Kluyveromyces lactis: one gene and its partners. The protein of the gene in region 1 interacts with the protein of each later gene in a pairwise test. Links are inferred from orthologs where the notes say so. Each region holds a gene or a part of one and is shown in the gene's direction. Other genes may lie near its edges.

Region 1 (4,314 bases):
CTTCCTATCCACGACAGTGCCCTTTGGCCTCAGTTCTGCGGCACTGCATAGTCCCTTCCAGCCTGAAACTTGTTTACGCCCTATGGCATCCTCTCCGCTCGCCTGGCTTCACCCTGGCTCATCGAGGTTCACCAGTTTCACCAGTTTCTCGGAAGCTATCATCATTTGATATTGTTGAAATAACAAATGTATATTGAATTATATAGCTGTATAATGAGGTGTTATTAGTGATTGGAGCATAGTAGCAAGGCACAAGAAACCAGATCGAATACAATGGCTAAGCAATCTCTAGGTATGTGGCACAAGGTCTGATAAAATAAAGGGTGGAAATTGGAAACAAAGTGTGATGTTATTACAATATTTCTTTATGACGATTTAAAAGTGGATTTGATTAAGCTATAGTAAAGCAACAAGAACTATGAACGTATATGAACAATAATACTATTTCACGGCAACGGGATATAATTTTTATCGCTAGAAATTTAGATGTTTCTTTGGTACACTTAATTTTGTTGTGATGTCTAAGTTGACTCTAGAAAGGATTATCGAGAAGTACAGAACAAGGAATGATAAATACGCAAGATCCTAAGCAGCGGAATTAAACGGAACGAAATGTTGATGACTCCATGTGACTATTGATGGGTATTGGAGGGATGTTTATATGAGGGAATTCGGAAAATGAATATAGTACTCCAGGGGTTTGAGCTTTAGAGAACACGTCCTGTGGGCTCACCAACAAGTCGTACAGATTTCAACATTCAAACTGGAAAATAACACTCAAGGGCACACTTTTTCCTATTAACCCATTTCCTTTAAAAAGTGTTCTATTTTTTTACTAACATTTCTCTTATAACGATTGTATGATGATATTCCGTCGTACAAGTACGTTTCACGTTTTTCTTCACAGACGTTTCCTCTGACAGAAGAAAGGCCAGAAAGGCTTACTTCACTGCCCCATCCTCTGAACGTCGTGTGTTGTTGTCCGCTCCTTTGTCCAAAGAATTGAGAGAACAATACAACATCAAGGCTTTGCCAATCAGAAAGGAAGACGAAGTCTTGGTTGTTCGTGGTTCCAAGAAGGGTCAAGAAGGTAAGGTTTCCTCTGTCTACAGATTGAAGTTCGCTGTCCAAGTTGACAAGTTGACCAAGGAAAAGTCTAACGGTGCTTCCGTCCCAACCAACATCCACCCATCCAAGGTCGTCATCACCAAGTTGCACTTGGACAAGGACAGAAAGGCCTTGATCCAAAGAAAGGGTGGTAAATTGGAATAAACTGGTTGTTAAGATTTTCATATATCAAATATTATCTTCTATAATCATGTTCACTAGTCTTATATAAGTGTAATCCTCACATTTTTGAAATTAAATACACAAAACGGGTATTTTCCGTATATATCGACCAATTGGACAATCATTCATTGATTAAACCCACTCGCTCTTCTTCTTCTTCTTCTTCTTCTTCTTCTTCTTCTTCTTCTTCTTCTTCCTCCGCTTTTTCCCATTCTTTCACTAAGTCTACCCTTTGATAAGTCCATAGAAACATGATTTTTAGGAAATCGAAAATTTCAGCGGAGTCAGTCAGTATAGCTATTAGTTTTGAGTAAACATATCAGGTAAAGAACCTGGAGAAACCGGACACCAGACGTAGTGAATAAAGCTGGTAGCTGGTGATTACATTGATCTATAAGGGCAACTGCTGGTATATTGCAAAGTCATTTTTGTACCAAGTTTGAAACTGTTTCTCAAAGTAAAGATTGCATTAATAAACAATGTCAGCGATTGTATCTGATGACGATGAATTGATAAATGGATTAGGGTCCGAGGTAGTAATCACAAAGCCGGTTCCTGGAAACCACATGGCAAGGACCAGGAAAAGATGGTCTAGTGGCTCTACAGAAAAAAGGCCTAAGGTTATTAATAAACTCATCGATGGGGTTCATACTGATGTTGCTAAGGATTATATTTCCCCGGGCCAATTATATTCGACAGAATCAGGACGTTTGTTCCATGCCGGTAAGATACTTATTGTGTTAGTAGGCCTCCCAGCTACCTCCAAAACGTTGTTGTCGGTTGCTATTACTAGATATACTAGATGGTTAGGGGTTCGTACAAGGTCTTTCCATGTCTCGGAGTATAGAAGAGAGAAGATTAGAGCTGAAAAGGGGGAGGTACCCGATGATTACTTCTCCGCAAAACCGACCTCCAAGGAAGGAATTCAGTACAGGAAAGAGATATTAAGTAAGATGATTCAAGATATGACTGAATTTTTCGACGAGAAGAAGGGCCAGTTGGCTGTTTATGATGCTCTGAATATTTTGAAAGATGATAGGTCATCTATAGAACAAGCTTTTGGTAAGTTACACATCAAAGTTCTATTTATCGAATCAGTGGTGACAGACCCAGTCTTACAAAAGAGGAACGTCGATTTGGCTATAAAATCCGAAGACTATAAAGGGTGGGTCCTTAAGAGGGCTGAAGAAGATTATATGGAAAGACTCCAAGCCAATAAATATTTGTATCAAGAAATGAGCCCAGAAGAAAAGTTGAGCTACGTTAAGTATATCAACTTCGGTGAGAAGTTGACCGTGAACAATAATAACTATGGCTATTTGATTAACAAGATTGTCTTCTTCTTAATGAACCTTCGTGATAAGAGAGGCTGTGTCTATTTCGCTCGTTGTGGAACAAGTGTTAAAGATAAGTACATCGACGATGAAGAGTTAAACGGAGAAGGCTTGGAATATTCCAGAATATTGACAGACCTTGTATTGGACTTGGTCAACAGAAGAAGACTTAACGCTAATGATGACGGAGCAGACGTTCCAAGGACACCGTCTCTGGTCTCCCTAAATGAAAGATCAAAATCACCGTTGATTGCTACGAGTGCATCATTGAAACGGACTGAATCAACTGGTAACGCTATGTATAGGCAACCTGCTAGTGGGGATGGTGTTGATGACGACTCCTTCGTGGTGTGGACGGCACCAAGGAAGAGAACGTACGATACGGCAAAATACTTTGCTGATCTGGGCATTACTGTAAGGCAGAGAAATCAATTGCAACAACTACATCCAGGTGTTGTTGCTGACATGACTGATGAAGAAATCAGAGAAAAGTTCCCAAGCGAATATGAAGAATACTTAAGGGATCCATACCATTTCAGATTTTCAAGAGCTGAATCATATCATGATCTTGCTGTGAGAATGGAGCCACTTCTACTTGAGATGGAAAGAATGTGCGGTGATATTCTTATCATTGGTCATGAATCTACTTTAAGGGTGTTATACGGTTATTTGATGGCTTTTTCCTGTTCTGAGATACCAAGACTAACGTTCACCCGTGATGAATTGATTGAAATCTCATTCGGACCATTCGAAAATAAAGTGAACAGGATTCCAATTGTGATGGATTAATTAAGGTTTATATTATGTTCATATAAATAGGTATATCAATTATATTAAAATAATGCAAGATCATAGCGGAATACTTGTGACTCCTAGTAAAGCAAATAAACTGGTGTTAATTGTTAACATTCTATCTGTGGTTTCCTTCCAATTTGTCAATCGCTTTTCGCTTTGATGCTTAGTTGTCTTCTCTGTAAATAGGCGTTGTACTCATCTTTCAAACTAAAAGGAGCCTGGAAGCATGAATCCTTGATCAAAAACCATTGTACAATCCTCCAAGATAAGAACCAGTCTACTAGCCCAATGTATCTGACTATGGTAGAGGCTAAGAAGTGGCATGTTCCTAATAAAGCGCCAATTGAAACACCCACTAAAACTTGTTTCAGAGTGTGATAGCCTAAATAGACGCGTGATACTACTACACCGCTAGAGGCAAGTAACAAACCAAAACTTGCTAGAATTTTATGTGATTTATTCAAGCCACCCCATTGGCACCAGATACGGAGGCCTATATACATGGTGAAGAATCCCATAAACTGGGAATGAGCACTTGGCATACCATAACCTGATCTCACAGAATCCTTTTGAAAAGAACCAAAATCAATTGGCCTCGTTTCCTTGATGATGTTTTTGATGATGTTATTGGCAATGTCATTCACTACATGCCCTCCCGCTAATATAACAGCTTCGATCTCACGAGTAATAATGAACCAGGAGAAGTAAAACACTAATATGCCAACAGGCAGAAGTGAAAGATAACAACAGATGAACGAAAATAGATCATTCGGGTCATATAAAATATAAGTATCATCAAACGGGATCTTTGAATGAATAGCGGTCAAATTCGACATGATTGCCGCTAGTTATGACCGTAATCGTCGATGTTTCCTAACTCCTTCTCTTGCGTCTT
Region 2 (3,030 bases), on another chromosome or scaffold:
ACTTCGAACATCGGCACAACTACTTAGATCGTGCGTATACTGGAATTCGCTTTTGCAGGAACGGCCGATAGAGCCAAAAAAATTTCTGTTCAAAATCTGACTTTAACCAGAGAAGTCATCCAGAACATGTACGGAATAATTCTTTCTCAGATGTAGGAACCGCATGAACGTAAGAATGCCGTAATCTTGTCAAAACGCTATGTGGAACAATGTTTGACTAGAACAACATCCTAATAATCCCCTCTCAATAACCTTCACTTTTGACTATTTTGTGTTTATAGTGTAACAATTTCAGCTTCAACTATATCTAGTTCAATTAAACTTTGCTTCATGTGATATTTATTAGCTCATTAAGGTTGATGAAATTTACATTAACACATCAAAAACTACTAAGCATCGGTGGTTTAGTGGTAAAATCCAACGTTGCCATCGTTGGGCCCCGGGTTCGATTCCCGGCCGATGCATTCTTTTTATCCCCCCTTTCTCTTGATAACTTGTAAATTGTCGTAAACCATTCAAAGCAAGTTGAGCCGCGCTAGGAGCACTTTAAGCATTCCGGCACTGCTACGTTACACATATTTCCACAAATGCAATTTATTCCAATCTCACTCTTTCTACATCGTTTATCTAAAATTAAACATACTATATTGTAAACAAAGGAATTTCCGGTGCGATACTTGTAGATAATGGACTGTATACAAAAGTGTTTTGAACGGGGCCTTTTCTGAACCAAAAATCCATATCTTATCTAAGCAAAAGAATAAACAAGCTTGTTTGTATGTGAGCATATCAAGAAACATTATCTGATCTCCGACGCGCACATATACACATGTGGTGTATGATAACCGACTATAATCCTATAAATCCTTTATCCTTTCTTCCCTGTTATGATCTCCTGATAGAACTTAAATGCTCTCTGTCCGGTGGCTACTAGCAATCTTAAACGGGACTGAAGATTAAATAGGCATATTACCCGGAAAACTCTATTAGGGTAAAATTTAGTAGGTTTTCATCGATTGCCTCATATTTCAAGAAAGTGGGACTTTTGTTCCAATAAGTCATACTGGCTATATATATATACGTCTTCACTATATTGTAAATTCTTCATTGGTGTCGTTGATAAAGTACAATTGATCTGGAATATATCTTCTGAGATCAGTAAATCTCTGCAGTCATTTCCGTTTTTTTAACGAATTATCTCGCAAATATTAGACCATCCTTTTAAATCAGGGATTATGAGCGAACAACCGAGTTTAGTGGGTCATTCTGTCCGTGATATTGATGATAGTGAGAATCCGGACTTCGTTCCAGAAAAAATGCCTGATTTCAGCCAACTGAATGAATCTGTGAGGAGATTGAATTTGAAAAACTCTTCTCCTGACGATAGTGACCAATACACTTCTGTTGCAGAATTGAATAAGGAAGGCGCACTTTTGACCGATGATCAGGATGTAGATTTAGATGACATAATTGCCAAAGGATTGGATGACATTAGTGAATTGAAATCATCTTTGGAGAATAAGAAAAAGATTAAGAACAAAAAAAAGACAAAGAAGTCTTCTTCGAGTGGCTCCTTATCGCAAGATTTCAGTTACTCAATTTCGCCAGTGCATTCAGGTACCGTAGATTCCCTTGTGACCAGCACTGACCCAATTGACGATAACATTGTTGCTCCTACCGCTGGCGATTTAACTGACGGAGGTAAGTCAAGGGCCAGATCGACAAACAAAACCGAGAAACGAGCTAGTGTTACGTCAGACTCCAGCCATTCAGTGATAAGGAACTCGTATGGTGAGATCATTAATGATAACTCTGAAAGGCCACACTTAGCTCGTGGTGATTCATACCAACAATCAGTAGATGATCTCGAAAATTCTGCTTCCAATGGTAGAAGCGGAAGATCAACCTCTAAAAGATTCCAAAACGACTACTTGCGTTCATTATCTCGTTCATTACAAAGAGATCATGCTGATCACAAAAGTGTTTCAGATGACACGGGCGTGCAAGCCCAAGATATTTATTCGACCACAAGCTATTCTATTTCCCAACGCTATGTGGAAAATGCACCTCATGTGATTCGTGAATCTCACGAGGAGCATACGGCGAGGCATCCTGCAGCCCCCCATAGAAACTAAGGCTTCAAGTGAGTCTACTAATCATGTTAGAGAAAACATCACCCAAGAAAATCAACTAGAAGAACCAGATGAACAAGAACAAGGACTCACAGAATCCCAACCTGAAACGGAGCAAGAGCTTTGCGAAACGAACATTGAACCCACCAGCCAAATTCCTGATATCACAGAGACTAACAGCGTTCCAGTCAAAACACGTGATCAATTTTTCTCTAAAATCCAAACCGATTCTTCTGATATTAAAGAACTCCAAGAATTATCAGATGAGGAGAGAGATATCAAAGACGAACATACATCTGAAATAAATCTGAAGGGAGCTATTGAAACTTCAACGTCTAGCCAAATAGGTGAGTATGAGTCACGTGCAGCCATAATCAATGATGAATCTATACGCGAGGCGAAACAGAATCAAGAATTGGAGTCCGTGGCATCAAATGATGAAGCTGGAAAAGGTATCGGTACCAATGATATCATTGACACAGCTGCATCCAAAAATTTTGTAGAAAATTTGGAGCAGGAGGACGACCAAAAGAAATTGAGAATTATCACTGAGGCCCCTGAACATGCCATGGATGAAGACGAAATTCCTATAACCAAAATAAGTCCGGACTCTGAAACATCGATTGAATACAAGGGTCCACAGGAATTGGGTCTACAAACATTGTCCACAGAAGAAAATGCACATTCTAAAGCCTCCACCATTGAGGCGTTGCCAGAAAGCAGAGCACTCAAGGATATTAATGAAGAGCAAACTCCTCAGAAGGGTTCCCTGGAAAAACCCGACCAAGTGGAAGAAGAACAGCCGAAGAACACCGAAAAGGGCTACGCTGACGACACATTATCTAATGAGACCGAATTTGCCGAGGAATCAATCGATCACTCTGAAAATTCAGAAATA
Region 3 (2,750 bases), on another chromosome or scaffold:
AACGGCTTTCTGCCTTGATGTTCTTGTTTTTACGATTCAATCTCTCTTAGATTGTTAGTTTTTGTTCAAGAAAAAAGATTGTAGGTTAACTGTCATTCATGATATTCTGTCCTACTGCAACTTGTTTGAATCAATGGACATTCCAAGTTATATGGTTAGACTTTGAGCAATATTCGCAGAGTAGTTTGATTTTAATCAGAGTCCTGGGCTATTGGTGGGGTGTAATATCAAAAATCTTTATAATTTCTGCCAGATGCCTGGAAGAAACGTTACACTAACAGAGTCGGTTTAATTCAAAAATGTACTTTGGTCATCCTTTTCTTCGGTGGTTCAACCAATGAACGAATGACTTGCCTTGATTCTTGAAACCTATGCATGAAAGAGCTTCTGGTGAGAGCATTAGCGAGGGTTCGGCTTTCGATCTGGTCCAAGTGAATAGCTTCTGACTTTGTCTTGATGATACACCCAGAAACGATACTGGCTTTTGTATGTACGACTGGCAAGGCGGGTTAGAGTGGGGTGTTTTAGTTGCCAAATCCCAGGTTGTGAGGGGGGGGTCTCCGTCTGCCCCTCCACCGGTTTGCGAAAACGGTCACCTGGCATGAACCGGAAACAAGTGCTGTTTGGAAACATATGAGAAACATATGAGAAACACCAGTTAGTCACGTGGTTATATAACTTCACAAAGCAGTTCTCTCCGTTTCCTTCTGACGTATGAGGTGATGAGCCGAAAGCTAGTACACGACTCTTTTTCAGAAATACGGATCTATTACTATTTACTGGTTTGACAATACCGGGCGACAGCCACTTCTTCTGTTTAGAAATCATTTCACACGTACTGATCGTCGGTTGATTTGTAAAAAAGTTCCAATGCTGCCTGCCGATAATTTGGAAACAAGTACGGTACGGAAACAAACGGGAAACAAATAGGAAACACATATATATTATCACGTGATGACGTTAGAATTTTTCCATCTCGACTATTTCAATCGTGGTATTCTGTTAGTGACCGTTTTGCAAGTGAATATACATGCGATGAGATGCTTCCAAGTTGACGTTGGCTAGTGCCATATCAGCATATATTTACTTGAGTTTGTTTCCCATCGTTATATTAAACTAATACCCACAGAAGAGAGGTCTATTAATGAGTGTGCAAGATAGAAGAAGAATATTAGGGCCAGCAGAAGCGAAGCCATTGCAGTTTGCTGCAATTACTCCTGTAAGAACCGTAGAGAACAGGGACGATGGTAATGGTAATAAATCGGGTAAGGAATCTGTGTTCATTAGTACGGATTTAGTAACGAATGCAAATGGTTCCTCATACCTAGAATATATGGATGGTACTTCGGATCAAGTTCTCGTAATGAGTTCTGTCTTCGGACCCAGGCCATTGCGAGGCTCCTTCCAATCTAAGGCATCAGTATCGATTCAGTTCAAAGAAGTTACGTTAGAACATTTGAATACCGGAGAAATTAAAGAAATTTGTACTTTCCTAACAAATGTCTTTAATGCGGTGATAAACGTTGAGAAGTATCCAAAATCTGGTATTGATATCTTTATAGATTTGATCCAGCATTCTAATAGTAATCCAACAGAGGAGGCAAATATCGTTAATATTCTACCCACATGCATTAATTCTATTACCATGGCTCTTGTAGACGCAGGTATTGAAATCATTGATTTAGTGAGTGCCGGGTCAAAAGATAACTCTGTGGTTGCGTTTATTAGGAATGGACATGAAATCGTCGGTATTTGGAGCGATGACGATAACGTCACTGACATATCAAAATTAATAGAAGAGTGCAAGGCAAAATATTTGGTAAATAAGCAGACTTTGGTTCAATATCTTAAATGAAATGAAATGGTTAACGTAATTTCATAGTGATTCATAATTAATGTGACACGAACGCTTCTTCTGTATTAGCAAAATAAAAATATACAAGGCTTTACCATTAAGGGTGAGGATTCGTTAGAAACATATCCTATTTATACATGGGTTGATACTTTAGATATAGTTAAGTACAATAGAATGCGATTTATTCCAAGTTATCTAACACTTGCTTGATTTGCCATACTTTTTTGGTGATAATATCGATATCAAAATTGGTACGTTTCATGTAAACAACGGAAACATCGGTGTCCATAGTAGACTTATACCAGTTTTGTAATGTTTTCCCAGTGAAATATTTGTTCCTATTCAAATCAAATTTATTATCATTGATTAGAACACCACATTGTTTCAAGAACTGCTTCGTGGTAGCAATTAATTGGTCCACGTCTTTTACAGTTTCTTTAAATTGAGGGAATAATAACTTGAAAGGTTTCGAGATCATAACAACATCGTGACTGTTAGCACTGTGGTATCTAAATTCATAAATACCTTCTTCAAAGCAAAGGATACTCTTATCGAATTTTATAGATCCATAAGTGAAATGGTCATTTGAATCGAAATGCAAAATCTTCTGATGATCTTCAGAATATGAAGAGCTCGAAGATACCGCCGACCAATGTCCTTGAGATGGTATCTTTGTAGTTAATCTATCTTCACCAGTTTCAACGACTTTGTAAAGTCCAATCCAGTCATCTTTGTGGAAAGCTTCATTGGTAACGGCCCATTTGATTTCGATTTCTTCTGGAATCCGAATCGTATTTTCGTCATTGATGTTGACGATATCCAAGTTAAAGTGGCCGGTGCCTTGCAAATTTTTCACCGTTTGCTCTCTAATCAAAAGCATATTGATAATCGATTC
Region 4 (3,433 bases), on another chromosome or scaffold:
GAGATGGCAAAGATGGCGGAGGAAAAGTTAGCTGTAGATGAACTAGCATACAACGAAAAAATAAAGGAACAAGAAAGACAAAGGGAGGAAAAAAAGAATTCCAGTCTTTCACAAAAAAACACATCATCTTCATCTTCCATAACTTCAAATTCTTCCTCATTAAACGTTTCTCCAAATATTTTATCGCCTTTAAGACTGAGCCGGACATCTTCAGTTTCGCGGTCAGAAGAATCAAGGTCCCCATCATCACCAATACCTTTCACTGATGCGAAGTCTAATATATCGGCTAAAAAGACCAGATCAGTCAGAACAAGAAACAGATCGTCATCATTGCAATCAGTATCAAGTCTTGAAGATACTTCCACTGCTCGGAATGGTATGAGATCCAATTCTCTTCAATCAGGTTCTCTGAATACACAAAGAATTGTACAGAATGCATATTCAAAAGCATTACTCTCGTTAAATGAGAAAAGAGGCCCAAGACTAACACCAACAAAGCTGAATAATTCTATAAGATCAAAATCACCTTCTCCAACTGTGTCACGGCAGAATTCCGTAAAACAGAGGAACAAAGTGAACATATTGAAGCTAAATGAAGTAGACGAAGATGACATCAATGAGAAATTCCACGATCTGAAGCTGGACGATGATACTCTAATCGTCTCTCAGGAAGTGTTATCTCCAGAAGGTAGTGAAACTCCTAAGATCATAGTTTCTGTTGCCGATGACAATCAGTCGTCTTCAAACAACGACAGCGAAGTTGAAGGTATTGTGAAAAAGGTGAGATTTATAGGGGTTCCGCCTATGTCACAAGATGAAAACCCTGAGCCTAAAAGACGCGGATGGTACAAGAAGCCTGCCGTGTTGCATTATCCACCTCCACCTGCACAGCACTCACTTCAAAAATTCAGAACAACTCAAGAGGGTCTTGCATTTCGCACAAGTTTGATCTCCAGAGACCAAGGTTCTGATAAAAAGTTCGGTTTTGACAGCATGTACTCATCAGGTCAAGGGGCGGATACTAAAATAGTGGGTAAAATCAAGGATAAACTGTTTAAATAGAAAGAATCTTTTAATTTCTATTTGCAGTGAACTTATTTCCATTATAATATCAACTTTTAACAATGTATTTGAAATTTAGAGAAAATATTTAACTATTGAACATTCCCATAATTTATAAAGTAAAGTAGGTAAGGCTTGAAACATAGGAACAAACCTGTTATAACACCACTAGAACGGTCTGACATGTCATTCAGGACACTCAGCTCATTGCTACCGAGTCCGCAAAACTCAGAAGTCTCCGAGTCTTCAGCATTTTCTAGACAATCTAAGGAAAACATAAAGGATACAATAATATTAGACAAGCTACGACCGGAGAATCTACCAGTGGCCTCAATATCTGACTTTGTACCTCTTAGACAACGTGATATATCACTAGAGGCACCGTTCCCATCGACATCACAGATTAATCAAACATATGTAAAGACTAAGGCGTTTCTAGACTCGCTGCTAACGAAAAAGAGCTCTCTACAATTATCGTCTATTGCGAACAAGGACATCGTAAAAAGAGAAGCAATAAGCTCTGTAAAATCTGGTACTCAACGTTCAGTTAAAGTAATAGAACATAAGAAGGATCCTTTACAACCGGTAACACACAGGAAAAGGAAGGTCGTTGTACCATCGGAAGAAATTCAGGCGCCTATACTTCATAAGTCGGATGACCCTAGTATTAAACCTACAAAGGAAGAGCTTGATAAATGGAGAATTCCATCCGCCATTTCGAACTGGAAGAATCCTAACGGATTTGCTATTTCTTTGGATAATAGAGTTGCTATTGAATCAATAAAGACGGACTGCCCAGATAATGATAAGAAGGACAATTTCCTTCTGCTATCTGAGGCACTAGACGAAGCAGAAAGAGAAGCAAGACAGAGAATCAACATTAAGCAAGAGGCGTACAAGGAGTTAGAGAAGGAAGAAACTTTAAAAAAAGAACAAAGGTTACGTCACTTAGCTGAACGTGCTAGACAGGATAGGGAAAATAGGCGACAGTACGAAAATGAAGATCATTATGTTAGGGAAATGGAGCGTAATCAACGTAGGAGAGCAGAACGCGAATTGGAACGGTCGAATAAAATGAGCACAGCAGAAAAGTTAAGACGATTGGCGTACCAACAAGGAAGAGATGTTTCTGATAAAGTTGTTTTAAATGCTGCAAAAGCCACCGAGACCCCAGATCTTCAGTACGATTCCCGCTTGTTCAAGAAAGCGGCATCATCTGTGGCATCATCTTCAAATCAAATTTTCGACCATCCATTGTTCAATAATAGCCAGATTGACAACATTTACAGGCCAACTACTGGTTCTAACTTAGAAAACGAAGATATTGTTGATCGACTCTCAAATAAGAAAGGAAGAACTGGACCGGTAGAGTTCTCCGCTGCTGATGATGGCAAAAATGCGGAACAGAATGAGGAAGATAACGAGCATGCCAGAGAATACGGTCTTCAAGTGCGTAAGAAGCCTCATACTTCTTAATTGTGCGATACCGATATACTGATATAATTGTATGTAATAATATTCAAGCACTACTAATTGAATGAAATCAGCGAATCAGTCATTATTTTCATCGTCAGTGATTGAAGAAAACTCATCATTCCTATCATCTGTCAGAAGTATTCGGTTCAAACGGTGACTTCTTCTGATAGCAAATAACTCAACTTTTTTAATAGTTCCGCTAACTTTTATTGGATTCATTATGATGGGCCCAACAGATTCAATCTGGTTCATCAAAGCAAGTGCCATTATTACGTACTGATGGTCATCATGGCCACATCGTATTATACCGGTTGATGTTCTATTCGAAAAGTATTTGATCTGTAACAAAGCCGTAGCCTTTCCCAAGCCATAGTCCCCGAAATTCACCTGTAATTGTTTTCGTAGTTCCTGCAAAATATTTCTCGGACTGATAGTATTTGGTGATACTTTGTGATGCGTGGTTAAAATGTCCTTCTTGGTTATATCTGGCACTGTTTCGTACTCATCATCTACATCTGGATATAGTACTTCGAAAAGAATGTATCTGCTCTTTAAACGAACCATTGGATTTCTTCTATTTTGCCTATTATGACAGCAAGTTTTATTAATAGTAGGATGAAACCCCCGAATAAACGTTGTTGCACAACCGTCCTTTATCAAAATCTTGATTCCTTCACAGTTGATCTCCATCATAACTCTAAATCTTGTAATGTGAAGCATCTCTCTTTTTTTTTTTTTTTTTTTTTTTTTTGGTTTGTCGCATTCAAGTCACAGAAGAAGAACGAGAATACGCCAAGCATGTCCAATATTTTATGCATTATTGCCGCATCACCAACCTTAACTAACAGATTGTGTAAATATCAGATAATTCATTCTCTATATAACAAAAGGCGTA
Region 5 (3,393 bases), on another chromosome or scaffold:
TGAACCATCTAGAGAATTCTGGGTAAGTAGATTGGAAAGCCTTGAAAGCAGAGACGTCAGCTTGAGTAGCAGAGGTACTATATTGATGCAATTGTTAGTTAGTAAAATGGAAAGAACAAAAAAATGAAATTTTTTTGTATGGCAGCTAAGCTTGCTTGCTGAAAAGAGAATTCAATAAAAAAGATAAATCAGAATCGTACTGTCTAGGTACTGTCTCTTTGTCACTCATACCGGGGGTCTTACTTCCCGTCATAAACACGGACCAAAGAATTTGTTCATCATTGAAATAGTAAACTTTGAAGAATTCTCTTATTCAAAAAACTGCTTGATGCCATTGGAAAACCACCACTATAATTATTTCACATACCCTTCAATGTAAGACTTGTCAGCCAAGAAAGTGTTCAACTTTTGCAAGGTTTCGACCTTGGAGAAATCAGAGAAAGACATCGTTAATGGATAGTTAAACCTGGTGAGAGAAGAAACTAGGAAAGAATCAATTCCTCTTCTTCTTCTTACAAGGAACGTTGAATCAAATTGACGAAAAAAAAATACTGAAAAGCTGATGAAAAACTCTAATTCGAAAAGTTCCAATATATATATATATATATTTATGAGATATATGATATGTAAGACGTATGTACTATGGAATTATGGCATCTACGTGTATTCAAAGTGCATGCAATGTGCGGTGGAAGAAAATTTTTTTTCTTCCTTGTAAGTGCGATGAGATAGATACTGGAAAGGCAACAGCAGAAAACAGGGCACGCTGCGGCGTGCCCTGCGACAATTTGAGAAAAACCAAGTTTATTTTCAAAAATCATGGGTCCACCCCTTTGAAAAACGATTTTGCCATAGTAAATGGTTCCAAAACGGTACGGATTTTTCTGAGAAAGTGTTCTTTTTTTCATTTTTTTCAAACTGGATTCCTTTTCTTTTGACAAGTGAAATGTTTACTCAGGGTAACACTTAGATTGTTCAATCAACTCATCACTGTATACGAATATGAAAAAGTATCCATCAATTCAAGAATAGAAGTGCAAGTTCGTGTTTTAGGGCTGGTTGAATAAAGACTATGATAGTGTTACTACAAACAAACGGTTTACTCATTGAAGCGTGCTGATATACAGCAGACAAAGCAACTACGACCTGCCTCCCAAAATTGTATTGATATGTCGCTCGTACCGCAAGCCTACTTGAGTAACTTCCATAATAGAGTGAAGAACGAGGATGTTCCGTTGTTTACTGCTGCGCAGTTATCGAGAAACAAGAGGGGTAAACAGGTGAACTACGCTGAGTTCGATACGGATCTCTTGGATGAATTCATCGACAAGAACGATGAGGATGATTTGGAGGATGATGTGGACGATTCGGATGGTCGTCGTAGGGGTGGGGACTACTATGATCAAGTAGACGGTAGTGATGGAGGTGCTGCGGCTGCTGCCGCCACCGCCGCCGCAGCGGCGGGACTCGGTGAAGATGGTGGCATTGGTGAGGGCACGCCCGGGTCTGGTGACCCCGGTGCTGTCACTGGCGGAACGCCGGCTGCAGATACTGGGCCAGACGGTACAAACGATGGTACTGCAGGAACGTCAAATCCTAGCTCAGAATTGGATCGCATCAAACTAAACGACTTGCCCGACCTTGAAAGTCAGGATGATTCTGCCACTCCGCTAGCTTTGTTGAAATATCCTAGGATTAGGGAAACTTTCGTGCAAAGTAGGATCGCTATCAGTTATAAAGACCTTCTTGGAGATTCTATCCAGGATCCGCAGCAAGTGGATATAGAAAGCCCGATAATGGTTCCAATACGGTTAAACGTTGAATTCAGTGGACACAAGTTAGCAGATTTTTTCATGTGGAATTTGAACGACCATTCGATGACTCCAGAACAGTTTGCTACGATCTTGTGCCAGGATCTTGATTTCCCAGTGCTTTCCAACCCAAATAATTCCCCATATACACAGATTATCTCTATGATTAACGAACAATTACAAGAATATGAAACATTGGCATCTTTACAGGTTCCTGATTTACACGTGATAATAAATTTGACTGCAAATCTCGATTCCAAGCTTTATGATGACACTTTTGAATGGAACCTTAATGACGATTCATTATGCCCAGAACAATTCGCAGAATTGGTGGTACAGGACCTGGGCTTGCAAAGAGAGTTCGTTCCTGCCATTGCACATTCGTTGCATGAATCCTTGCTAAAGGTAAAGAAGGATTGGCTCGAAGGTAATTTGAATTTGGCCCATGTAGAAAATAAGGCAGCTTTCGGTTACACATCAGGTATCCGTCTAGATATAGATACACTTGGCGCCTCATGGTTCCCTAAGGTAGAAGTCCTCTCACAATGGGAAATCGAAAAGCGTGAAATTGAAAAGGAGAGAAACATGAGAAGATTAAAGAGAGAAAGTGCCAAGGTCGATGACGGAAGATCCAGAAGAAGAGGCAAGAGGAGAATGGATGACTTGGAAACTACTTTGAGAATATAAGTGTGTTCTCTTTTCCGGCCAAGCAGTTTAACTTCACAGACGCCCATTAGACAAAGCTGTATAGAAAATAAAGTTCTCCATCTATTCGTGGAGATTTATGTATCATTAATGTATTAATACCACCGTCATCTGTGGTTTTGCACAAATACTCTTCCTTTTCGTCAGACTATTATTTATTTAGTCGCCAAAAATCTCCACAACAAATAGAAAAAGATCAAAGATCATCGCGAATCAGTAATGCGTACGCTGGGAATAATAAAAAGTACATACCCGAAATCCTTATTACTTCAATTACTATGCTCCACGAAGTATTATACAAGCATTTAGACGGCATTTTAGTCTCACGTTTGTATACTGAGGATCAGTTTGTTGATCTATTTTCTAGAACGATACCGGAATCCAACACTGTGATCGCGTCACAGTTATACAAAAGTTATGAAGAGAATGATCAACGGATCATTGAAAAAATAGATAAACTCATCGACAACAAGCTGTCTTTGATAAGAGTTGAGCTCGAACGGGAACAAATTGAAGACTCCATTTCTCTCGAGGAAGTAAATAAACTATTGCATAGCATTGATGATATGTTGCAGCAGCATTTAAATCAATTAAACATTGAACTAGATAATAAAAATACAAAACTTTTGAAATATGCAATGGAACTCAGTGACATTGAAGCAATAGATACTTCCATGTACGATAATGTTGCAAAATTAATAACGGACATGGAAACCAACCAACCTTCTAGTTGAAAAGCTCAAGAACACACGGTAGAATCTATTCCAGGCACTTCCAATTCTTCACCAACCCATTGGAAGACTTCATACTTGGAGTTCAAATCTTTGTTTGAATGCATGCAGTATCCATCACCTGAATCAGGTTTCAGTGCACCGCT

What was found. The genes of interacting proteins can lie anywhere in the genome.
Region 2: the proteins of KLLA0_B05709g (region 1) and KLLA0_F23078g interact in a two-hybrid assay, tested with the Saccharomyces cerevisiae proteins (2 studies listed by BioGRID, with this or other methods). The link is inferred for Kluyveromyces lactis from reciprocal best matches to the Saccharomyces cerevisiae genes YLR345W and YLR257W.
Region 3: the proteins of KLLA0_B05709g (region 1) and MTR3 interact in a two-hybrid assay, tested with the Saccharomyces cerevisiae proteins (3 studies listed by BioGRID). The link is inferred for Kluyveromyces lactis from reciprocal best matches to the Saccharomyces cerevisiae genes YLR345W and MTR3.
Region 4: the proteins of KLLA0_B05709g (region 1) and PRP45 interact in binary tests that used the Saccharomyces cerevisiae proteins (3 or more experiments, as listed by UniProt). The link is inferred for Kluyveromyces lactis from reciprocal best matches to the Saccharomyces cerevisiae genes YLR345W and PRP45.
Region 5: the proteins of KLLA0_B05709g (region 1) and SFH1 interact in a two-hybrid assay, tested with the Saccharomyces cerevisiae proteins (2 studies listed by BioGRID). The link is inferred for Kluyveromyces lactis from reciprocal best matches to the Saccharomyces cerevisiae genes YLR345W and SFH1.

The regions. Positions count from the first base shown.
Region 1 is NC_006038.1:513,520-517,833, reverse strand, and holds KLLA0_B05709g (bifunctional fructose-2,6-bisphosphate 2-phosphatase/6-phosphofructo-2-kinase), read left to right. Parts: upstream 1-1,769; coding exon 1,770-3,413; downstream 3,414-4,314. Other genes in the region: KLLA0_B05742g (60S ribosomal protein uL24), read left to right, coding at 274-292, 908-1,272; CAX4 (dolichyldiphosphatase), read right to left, coding at 3,560-4,255. UniProt on the Saccharomyces cerevisiae protein: Synthesis and degradation of fructose 2,6-bisphosphate.
Region 2 is NC_006042.1:2,142,383-2,145,412, forward strand, and holds KLLA0_F23078g (uncharacterized protein), read left to right. Parts: upstream 1-1,235; coding exon 1,236-2,135; downstream 2,136-3,030. Other genes in the region: AIP5 (Aip5p), read left to right, coding at 2,701-3,030.
Region 3 is NC_006042.1:1,688,292-1,691,041, reverse strand, and holds MTR3 (exosome non-catalytic core subunit MTR3), read left to right. Parts: upstream 1-1,144; coding exon 1,145-1,855; downstream 1,856-2,750. Other genes in the region: CHO2 (phosphatidylethanolamine N-methyltransferase), read right to left, coding at 2,037-2,750.
Region 4 is NC_006042.1:223,854-227,286, reverse strand, and holds PRP45 (mRNA splicing protein PRP45), read left to right. Parts: upstream 1-1,245; coding exon 1,246-2,538; downstream 2,539-3,433. Other genes in the region: protein phosphatase regulator GIP4, read left to right, coding at 1-1,062; RNA-binding protein POP5, read right to left, coding at 2,614-3,258. UniProt on the Saccharomyces cerevisiae protein: Involved in pre-mRNA splicing. Associated with the spliceosome throughout the splicing reactions, until after the second catalytic step.
Region 5 is NC_006039.1:1,628,582-1,631,974, reverse strand, and holds SFH1 (Sfh1p), read left to right. Parts: upstream 1-1,169; coding exon 1,170-2,498; downstream 2,499-3,393. Other genes in the region: EFB1 (translation elongation factor 1 subunit beta), read right to left, coding at 1-77, 368-447; NKP2 (Nkp2p), read left to right, coding at 2,795-3,250; TAD3 (Tad3p), read right to left, coding at 3,256-3,393. UniProt on the Saccharomyces cerevisiae protein: Component of the chromatin structure-remodeling complex (RSC), which is involved in transcription regulation and nucleosome positioning. RSC is responsible for the transfer of a histone octamer from a nucleosome core particle to naked DNA.